Linked DNA regions of Arabidopsis thaliana. The protein of the gene in region 2 interacts with the protein of the main gene of each other region in a pairwise test. Each region holds a gene or a part of one and is shown on either strand. Other genes may lie near its edges.

Evidence for each region.
Region 1: the proteins of AT5G03345 (region 2) and AT2G38330 interact in a protein complementation assay, tested with the Arabidopsis thaliana proteins (one large-scale study listed by BioGRID).

The regions. Positions count from the first base shown.
Region 1 is NC_003071.7:16,062,667-16,067,979, forward strand, and holds AT2G38330 (MATE efflux family protein), read left to right. Parts: upstream 1-1,836; 5' UTR 1,837-1,904; coding exon 1,905-2,119; intron 2,120-2,199; coding exon 2,200-2,309; intron 2,310-2,395; coding exon 2,396-2,548; intron 2,549-2,651; coding exon 2,652-2,773; intron 2,774-2,875; coding exon 2,876-3,011; intron 3,012-3,163; coding exon 3,164-3,260; intron 3,261-3,358; coding exon 3,359-3,459; intron 3,460-3,537; coding exon 3,538-3,701; intron 3,702-3,841; coding exon 3,842-3,913; intron 3,914-4,001; coding exon 4,002-4,118; intron 4,119-4,199; coding exon 4,200-4,295; intron 4,296-4,381; coding exon 4,382-4,503; intron 4,504-4,591; coding exon 4,592-4,652; 3' UTR 4,653-4,771; downstream 4,772-5,313. Other genes in the region: DREB19 (Integrase-type DNA-binding superfamily protein), read right to left, coding at 4,781-5,313.
Region 2 is NC_003076.8:812,399-816,163, forward strand, and holds AT5G03345 (membrane magnesium transporter-like protein), read left to right. Parts: upstream 1-1,686; 5' UTR 1,687-1,797; coding exon 1,798-1,874; intron 1,875-1,971; coding exon of another isoform or gene 1,972-1,975; coding exon 1,976-2,024; intron 2,025-2,125; coding exon 2,126-2,317; 3' UTR 2,318-2,909; intron 2,910-2,992; coding exon of another isoform or gene 2,993-3,080; 3' UTR 3,081-3,221; downstream 3,222-3,765. Other genes in the region: AtCDC48C (ATPase, AAA-type, CDC48 protein), read right to left, coding at 1-138, 398-560, 707-735; AT5G03350 (Legume lectin family protein), read right to left, coding at 3,406-3,765. UniProt on the Arabidopsis thaliana protein: Mediates Mg(2+) transport.

The DNA of each region.
Region 1 (5,313 bases), on a different chromosome or scaffold from region 2:
TTTTTTGGTCGCATATTCTTGGTGATTCTTCTTCTACGTTTTCACTTTCTTCTTCAGAGACCTTATTAATATGTTAATTGCATGAATTTATGTAACATTCAAGAAAAAGAGATCGAATACAAGAAACCGGAAATTTAATTTCTAATTTGAATTCTATGCATGTTTGTTTCTTTGCCAATTTAGTACGAATATATTTATGGTCCGGAGTTCTAACCAAAGATAGTTGCTCTGTATATAGAAGTTATACATCTCGCTTGTTTAAACTAAATAACTATTTAGTTTGTCTTGGTAGTCCAGTGACTTTCTGCAAACATTGGGATTTATAATATAGTCAAAACGTTGGGATATGTAGTATTCATTTTCGTTGTAAAAATCATTATATTTTGCAAAGGTTGCAACGTAAAACGTTGTATTGAATTTAGGAGAAAGTAGCCATTTACAATGAATTTTAGTGACAAACTGTTGTATACAGCCTGTGCCACTAAGTATGTCTATATCTAAATTTGGAATGGATGATAACCAGTATTGGTCAATAATGGATAATTTGGTATTTAGAATTACTAATTTGGTATTTTAGTGACAAACTGTTGTATGGAATTTAGGAGAACGCGTTCCCAAGCTATATATTATATGTATTTCATTCTTTCATATGTTATATTATGAATTGTTATAAAAAAGACCAATGAGCAACGGTTTAAGGTTTAATCAGTAATCGATCCGACCAATCATATACAAGTTCCTAACACATCTTCTAACTACTGAGTAAAATAGTAATGCTATTACAAAGGTTTTTTCTTTTCAAAATACAGCCTAATGCTACTACAAAATTCTAATGTTATAAAATAATCATAGGAGAAGTAAACCCCGGTATTTAATTAATACCTTACAAACTTACATTATTGATAAAGTTGAATGAAGAGTTATATGGTCCATTTAGTATTATTTACTTAATATGATACTAGTGTTAGACGTGTTACTGTATTTCAACGTGCATAATCAGGTTGTTCAAAAAGAGAGAGGATAGGTCTTCTTCTTCTGTAATTTGCTGGGACCGCAAGTCATGTGAGGCTGCTCTGCTGATGCTGCACGGCGTCGCAACTCTCTCAATAAATTCTTTTAACTAACGCTCCAATTTTCGATGTAAATTGGCTGACTTCAATTCTATGCCTTACTCTTGTACTCTATGTTTCTTTATCTATTAAAATCCAACTCTGCTTTTGAACCCAAAAAACAAAACAAAAACCAACTCTGCTGAATCATGAAACACGTCCTTGATCTTTATTTTTATTTTTTCCCAATATATGCTCTTAAGAACTAGTTATTGCTTTTGAACCCAAAAAAAGAATTCTGAGTTTTAGGATATCAAATGATCTTACAACTTTCTATATCAAGATTCTTGAACACTAGATATGCGGATTTCAAATATACTCCCAAAAATCAAAATATGCGGACCTATAATCCAAATTTGGATCCATTCAAAAAACAACTAAACAAAATTTTAAGTGTATAAAAAAAATGCAAATCCAAGTCACAAGATAACTGGAGAAAGAGATATTTCTTTTGAGTTGTTGCTAAATTGAGAAAGTGAGTGATAATACACGAATCAAACTCATGACTTACATATGAGAGTCACGGCACAACAAAGAAAAAAGATGAAGCTATCTTAAAGATACAAAGTGTAACATTGGCAGAAAAAAAAACAAAAAACAAAGTAACAAACAAACAAGCTATTTAAAAGCCCAATAAAAAGCCCATTAAAGGCCCATCCATAAGGTACAGCTAGTTTAGACATGTGACCGTTTAATCAGTTAGTGAGTAGAGATAGATAAAAAGAGTGAACATCAACATGTGGCTCTCTTTCTTCCTCCTCCGCCGAGATTTTTCTCCGTCTCTCGTTCTCCGCAATGGCGGCGGTCGCTACCTCCTTCTGTTTCTCTCCCCATCGATCGCCGTCACGTTTTGGAAACCCTAATTCATCCATTCGAAGAACAATCGTCTGTAAATCATCTCCTCGCGATGAATCTCCAGCCGTCTCCACTTCTTCTCAGCGACCGGAAAAGCAGCAGAATCCTCTGACTTCACAGAATAAACCGGATCATGATCACAAACCGGATCCTGGGTTCGTACCTTAGCCTAATAATGCTTCTTCTGTATTCAACTTTGAATGGTTTCTAATGTATTTGATTTTTTTGGGTTTAGGATTGGTAAAATTGGAATGGAGATAATGTCAATTGCATTACCTGCTGCATTAGCTTTAGCTGCTGATCCTATAACATCTCTTGTCGACACTGCCTTCGTTGGCCATATTGGTAAATACTTACTTTTTGCTTGGTTTCAACAATTTCACATTTTTCGAAAGTTCACATTTTTAACATTCATATGTGTAATGTGACAGGTTCTGCGGAATTAGCTGCAGTAGGAGTGTCAGTTTCTGTATTCAATTTGGTGTCGAAGCTCTTCAATGTTCCTTTACTAAATGTCACAACATCGTTTGTTGCGGAGGAGCAAGCAATTGCTGCTAAGGATGATAATGATTCTATAGAAACAAGTATTTTACTTTCCTTAAAGCTTATAATGAAAAATGTTTTTATTGTTTTCTTCAAAGATTGTTTCTTTACTTTGAATCTGTTGTTTATTTGTTGGTGTTAAAGGCAAGAAAGTGCTGCCTTCGGTTTCAACTTCATTAGTTCTTGCTGCTGGAGTTGGTATTGCAGAGGCCATTGCGCTATCTCTCGGGTCTGATTTCTTGATGGATGTCATGGCTATACCTTTTGTAATGTCTCTAAGCTCACGTTGAACTTCTTTTATATAAGCTGTTATCTTTGAAGTTTTGTATAGCTGATCGCTCTTCTTTCTCGGTTTGTAATTTTTTTAGGATTCACCAATGCGGATACCAGCAGAGCAGTTCCTCAGACTTCGAGCGTATGGTGCACCACCAATTGTTGTTGCATTGGCTGCGCAAGGAGCTTTTCGAGGTTTCAAGGACACAACAACGCCTCTATATGCCGTTGGCAAGTATTGCACAATCATCTATTTTTTTTGTATTTATGCATGAATGGATCTGAGGAAATAAATAGTATATGCGCATTAGCTCACTAGACCGTATATATGCATTAGCAGTTTCACATACATGTTTCTAATATGGTGAACTCTATATCAACAGTTGCGGGGAATGTACTTAATGCGGTATTGGATCCAATCCTGATATTTGTCCTTGGTTTTGGTATCTCTGGTGCTGCGGCTGCTACTGTGATTTCTGAGTATGTCCAAAAATGTGGTAATAGACTCGTTTTCTAGTAAAGCATATCTATCTTAATTTGTGGCTTCTTATGTTTCTCACTTGTCAACGTTTCTTCAGATACTTGATTGCATTTATTCTTCTATGGAAGTTGAATGAGAATGTAGTTTTGCTCTCTCCTCAAATCAAAGTGGGAAGAGCCAACCAGTACCTCAAATCAGGTAATTCCTTAAAATTTTCAAGTTTTCTTTAAACGATTCAGAAAGGCTACTATATGAAATGTATTGATTCATGCTTAGGTGGGCTTCTCATTGGTAGAACGGTGGCTTTGCTTGTGCCATTCACATTAGCTACTTCGTTAGCAGCTCAAAATGGACCCACTCAAATGGCTGGCCATCAAATCGTCTTGGAAATCTGGTTGGCTGTCTCTTTACTCACCGATGCTTTAGCCATTGCTGCACAGGTCTAATATCTTTTGCAAATCATCTTCGAAACAGACAATCTCTACCAAGATTTACTGTGATATAAGAATCCCATTAGCATGATCCAAGATTACCTTTTGGGGAGAAGATTTTCACTTATATTTTCTACCTCTATTTTCAGAGTCTTCTTGCCACCACTTACTCTCAAGGAGAATACAAACAAGCCCGGGAAGTTCTCTTCGGAGTCCTTCAAGTTCGTATTCATAATTCATTACATCCCTAGTTTATATCCTACCCTATATATTCGATGTTATAATGTACAATTGCAATCTTTTAAGTAGGTAGGTTTAGCAACTGGAACTGGTTTGGCTGCTGTATTGTTCATCACTTTCGAACCATTTTCAAGCTTATTCACAACGGATTCAGAAGTTTTAAAGATTGCTTTGTCAGGGACCTTAGTAAGATCTTATCTTTTAATCCAGAAAGAGTTTGAAAAGGGTAGTCTCAGACAATATCTAAATAATGTTGGCTGGATGCAGTTTGTGGCTGGATCTCAACCGGTGAATGCTCTAGCGTTTGTTTTGGATGGGCTCTATTATGGTGTCTCTGACTTCGGATTTGCCGCTTATTCTATGGTCCCTTTTCCTTCTTCATCAATTGGTCGTTTGATTCTCCCTTTTCTTCACCTGGAAAAAGTTGATTATTTCTCATTTTGGAACAGGTGATTGTCGGATTCATATCTTCCTTGTTCATGCTTGTGGCTGCACCAACGTTTGGCCTTGCCGGGATCTGGACTGGTTTGTTCCTCTTCATGGCGTTGCGGTTGGTTGCTGGAGCCTGGAGGTAAACAATTAATTAAAAAGACCGTTCTAGTTTCAAGTTTTCAACCCATCCGAAATTTTTCTTAAAAGGATACTGCGTCATGTTTCAGATTGGGGACAAGAACCGGTCCATGGAAAATGCTATGGTCTGCTCCAGAGAAGCCAGAATGAAGCGGATCACTGTTTTTTGCGGTATGATGCGTGACTCTTAAGTTAAGATAAATGAAAATGGAGTAAACTAACAATGTAAAAAACATAGTCTCATAGTCATAGTATATTGATGCAGCATAAATCCTAAGCTAGAATCTGAAATACTCAAAATATGAATCGAATCCACCTCCCTGGTGATAACTGGAGCTTTGAGGTTCATTATACAACAATCCGTTATCCAATTTGAATCGATCATAGCTGTAACCTTCCTCTGATTTCACTGCTGGGTTCACTATTTCATTATCAGTCATAGGATTCTGAGTCTTGTCATGGCCAAGCTCAATAGCGTCTTCATTGTAGACTACATAGTCTTTTCCACCTTCCGTTTCAATCACGCCATTACCGGCTTTGTTAGTTTCCAACCAATAGCCTCCCGAACTTTCCGCCTCCTCGTCCTTCTTCCTTCCCCCACCCAAATCTTCCGGGAAATTTAACCTGGCATAGGGTCCGTACATGACACTAGCAGCTCTGTCGTAAGCCAAAGCAGCTTCAGCTGCAGTAGCAAACGTGCCAAGCCAAAGCCGTTTACTACGACTAGAGTTTGCACCACGGTGACTCACTGGTTCACGTATCTCAGCAACCCATTTCCCCCAAACCCTTTGTCGAACACCTCTAAACCGAC
Region 2 (3,765 bases):
TGGGCATTGGTGAACAGAAATAACATCTCCCAGCCTAACCCTCAAGTTAGACCTTACAACCTTATTCATTCTGATCTTGGGTTCCTCACATGTTTCATCAGCGAGGGCAATGCATACAGTGTCCTTCCTCTTCTTACCCTGAAAATCCAAAACCCCAATCAAGTAAGTAATCACAGAGATAAAAAGAACAATCCAAACCAATTCTAAACTCAAAAAAAAAAACTTCAGACAAAAAAGTTGTACCCTAACTGAATATGTTTACAAGATCAGACAAAGTAAAAAACATAACTGAATATGTTTACAACATGCTCGTGATATACAGTCAAGACACAGACGATCCAAACCAAGTCTAAACTCAAAACACCCTAACATAGTGACATAAGGAACAAAACCTAACCTTGATGAGAATTGTATCGCCTCGGAAAAGCTGGAGTTTTTCCATGGTAGTAGGATGGAGAGAGACAACAGAGTTGTCATCGTTAATAGCTTCATCGACAACAAGTCGGTTTGGAGACTTCTTCCTCTCTAGAATCGCAGTACTGAAATCCTTCTTAGTTTTCCTGAAACAAATACCCCAGGAAGACAAACAAAATCAGCTTTCAGATGAGATCAAACTAAAAAACCCTATTCTCAATATCGAAAAACCCAAGTAAAAAAATCGAAACTTTATGATCGGAAAACAAAAATCAAAGATCTAAGTACTTACGAGTCGGAGGATTCCGGTTCGTTTGACATAATGATAGCTTAAACTGACAAGAGAGCTCTAAGAAGGAAGTTGGGAAATTTGTTTCTAGAGAGATCGATTGGTGATGATGATGATGATGATGAATGGGATCTCAAGGGAGCTGAACTCGGGATTTTATACGCTCTGTGATTTCCTTCTTGTTGGAAAAATAAGCGACCCTTAACTTTTAAGTTTATCTTGAAAAGTTCCAAAAACTAGGTGTTGTGATAAATACACCCATGTTCCCTTAACATCATATCAATTAATTTATATTATTATATGATTTATCGAGAATCAAAACAAAAATCTACCTATATGAAGAATTAAAAAATTTGATGTAATTTTAAACTTATTTTAATAGTGTGGCGAGGGTACGTAAATGTTTATTAAAAACGTTATGGGGGAAAGTTGAAAATAAAAGTAAAAGAGAGGTGAGGATAACAGTTTTACTTTCTGGTTTTAGCAAACACAAGAAAGGAATAGAAGGTTCTTAGGTAGCGGTACCAAAGCAAGCTACATGTTTTTCTTACTTTTTTATAAATAGAAATTTAATATCTTACCATTTGATTTCTTTGTTCTAAAATAGATTTCCGTTTTTTTTATACGAAGTTATCAACATACGATTCAATTCAATAATTGCAGAAATTTTTGTTTGCATATGAATATATCATCAATATGAAATTCTAAATAAATATTCATAATTATTTATTATACGAAAAAATAATTATTTTCCCAAAAGATAAACCCTTATTGTTGTAAAAAAGTTATCAAACTAACTGAACTTTCATCTAATTAAAAATATTAGTTACTTAAAAAAAAGTTTGGGTTACAAAAGATTAATAGGAATCTAGGATATCATCAATCTAGAACTACGCGCCGTTGTTAGTCTCTTCGATATTAGACGTTGCGCCGTTTTCACTTTGAGATTTGCGATATTATAACTACATGCCGTTTTAAACTCCACTGATCGTCTTCTATTCTAGTTCGATTCTCGACGGAGAATACTCGACGAGAAAATCCAGATCGGGAATCAACTTAGAGAAGAAGAAAATTAAAAAAGAGAACTTCTAAAGATGAATTTGGGGTTCTTAGTTGGAGTTTTCGGCGTTCTTATTCTTTCTCATGCCGCTTATTCAACAATCCAATGTATGTCTACTCTTCCCAATCCAATTCCAGTTCCAATTGAGTCAGATCTACTTTAATTTTCGAGATAGGATCTTGATTTGGGTTTCTCTTGTTTATTTCAGATAGAGGATTGTTGAAGATTATGGAGGAAGAGTTTTCTCGACCACCGATTAATGTGAGTATATAATGATAACGGTTTCTCTTTTCCTCAATTGTGTTTGAATTATATCAGCAATGATTATGCTTTTATATGAATCATGATTGGATTTATTTAAGGTTATTCTGGAGTTGATCATTGGACTAGCTCTGTGTATGTGGGCTGCTTTGACTTTCCCTGGTAAATTTCTCTCGATCCATCCGGATTCTGATGAAAACAGGTTTGTGATCATGTTTCTCTCGAACTCTCTGTTTTGCATCAGTGTTAATCAATCTGAATTCATGTTATCTAGTGAGTGTTTTTACTATTGAATTTTTCTCTGTTCGTACTTTGTTGAACTTGGTGTAGAGTTACTACGGGTCTTATAGAAGCATCTTCTGGCTAGATTTGGTTCAATTATTCAGTTTAATCATGGGTGTTTCTAGTGAATATGTTTTCTTTTGACTGAGAAGGTTTACGGATGTGTTGTTAATCAATTGATTCAAAGAACTTGTGCTCTAGAGATGTTTCGAGGGTCTAGTTTTGATGTCTCTTTAACTCTCTGTTGTGCATCAGTGTTTATCAATCTGAAACATGGAAATTTGGTAGTTATTATATTTCCCGATGATTGAATGACCACCAAAGACTCATGTTTATTGATAAGAAACTGTCGTCTAGAGATGTTCTAGGTCAAACATTGATGTTTCTTTAATACTTTGTGCAGCTAAGGTTTTCTAAAATGCAGGACATTCAAAGGGACATTTTCTAGTTTATATTTGGTCCAGTTACGATTATGGGTTTCAAGAGCTTTAACCAGTTCTGCTCCTGGCTAATTCAATCAGTTTATATTTGTTTCATTGGCTCTTTAGACCCACTTTGGTTCCTTCTATGTCGCAGCCTCTCCCCTACCTTTTTGTACATTAGGTTCTTGAATTGGTTTTGAGTTTGGCTTTTGCTAGATAAAGTGAATATCTCCTGTTAACTGGTTTCTTTCAAAAAATTTGCAGGGCGGTGTTTTTACCAGATAATTCGGATTTCATGATATTCAATCACCGTGGCAGACTGTTCCCACCGCAGATCGACATGAAGTTTTGAATTTTTATCACACTGCTTAGTCAAACACTGATCTGTGTAATGTTATGAGATGTTTCCATTGAAATTCTACTCTAAGTAACTACTCTGCTTTGCATCAATTTTTGATTCTTGAAACGAGTCTTGTGATGTTTCTGTGTGTCAGGTCTCTACTTAGAATCTTTTAGAATGAAGAATCAACATAACAACAAGTGCACAGGTCCTAGCAGGATAGGATACTGTGTAAATAGTCAAATACAAACAATTAAAACAACAAAATTTGCTATTTTATTCATTCCGGTTACAACTTTCTGATACATTAGAAAAAGCATAACCGAACAGAACCGGTTTAGATTCTCTTGGCACTGTTCTGGAAGGTCCAACTCCAAATGTCATGACGTTCAACGCCACGGCCCATGGCACCAGAAAAACCGGGGTACATATTTTGAAGAAAAACCTTAGAGAGATCTAAATGGGCAACGATCAAAGGCTTCTTAGGTTTCTTAACGGTTTCTGGCGCGAGAGTAACTGTAACCTTGGAGTTTCTATACTCAATCCAAGCCTTGTACCTCTCTCCATTACTCAGCTTGAACTCTTTAAACGACCAGTGTTTCATTTTCCCAATTCCTGTCTGAACCCAATAACCAGCTTTCTCAGCAACAACGGAAGTAACAGAGTTGATATTAATCCCGACATGGTTATCATTAAT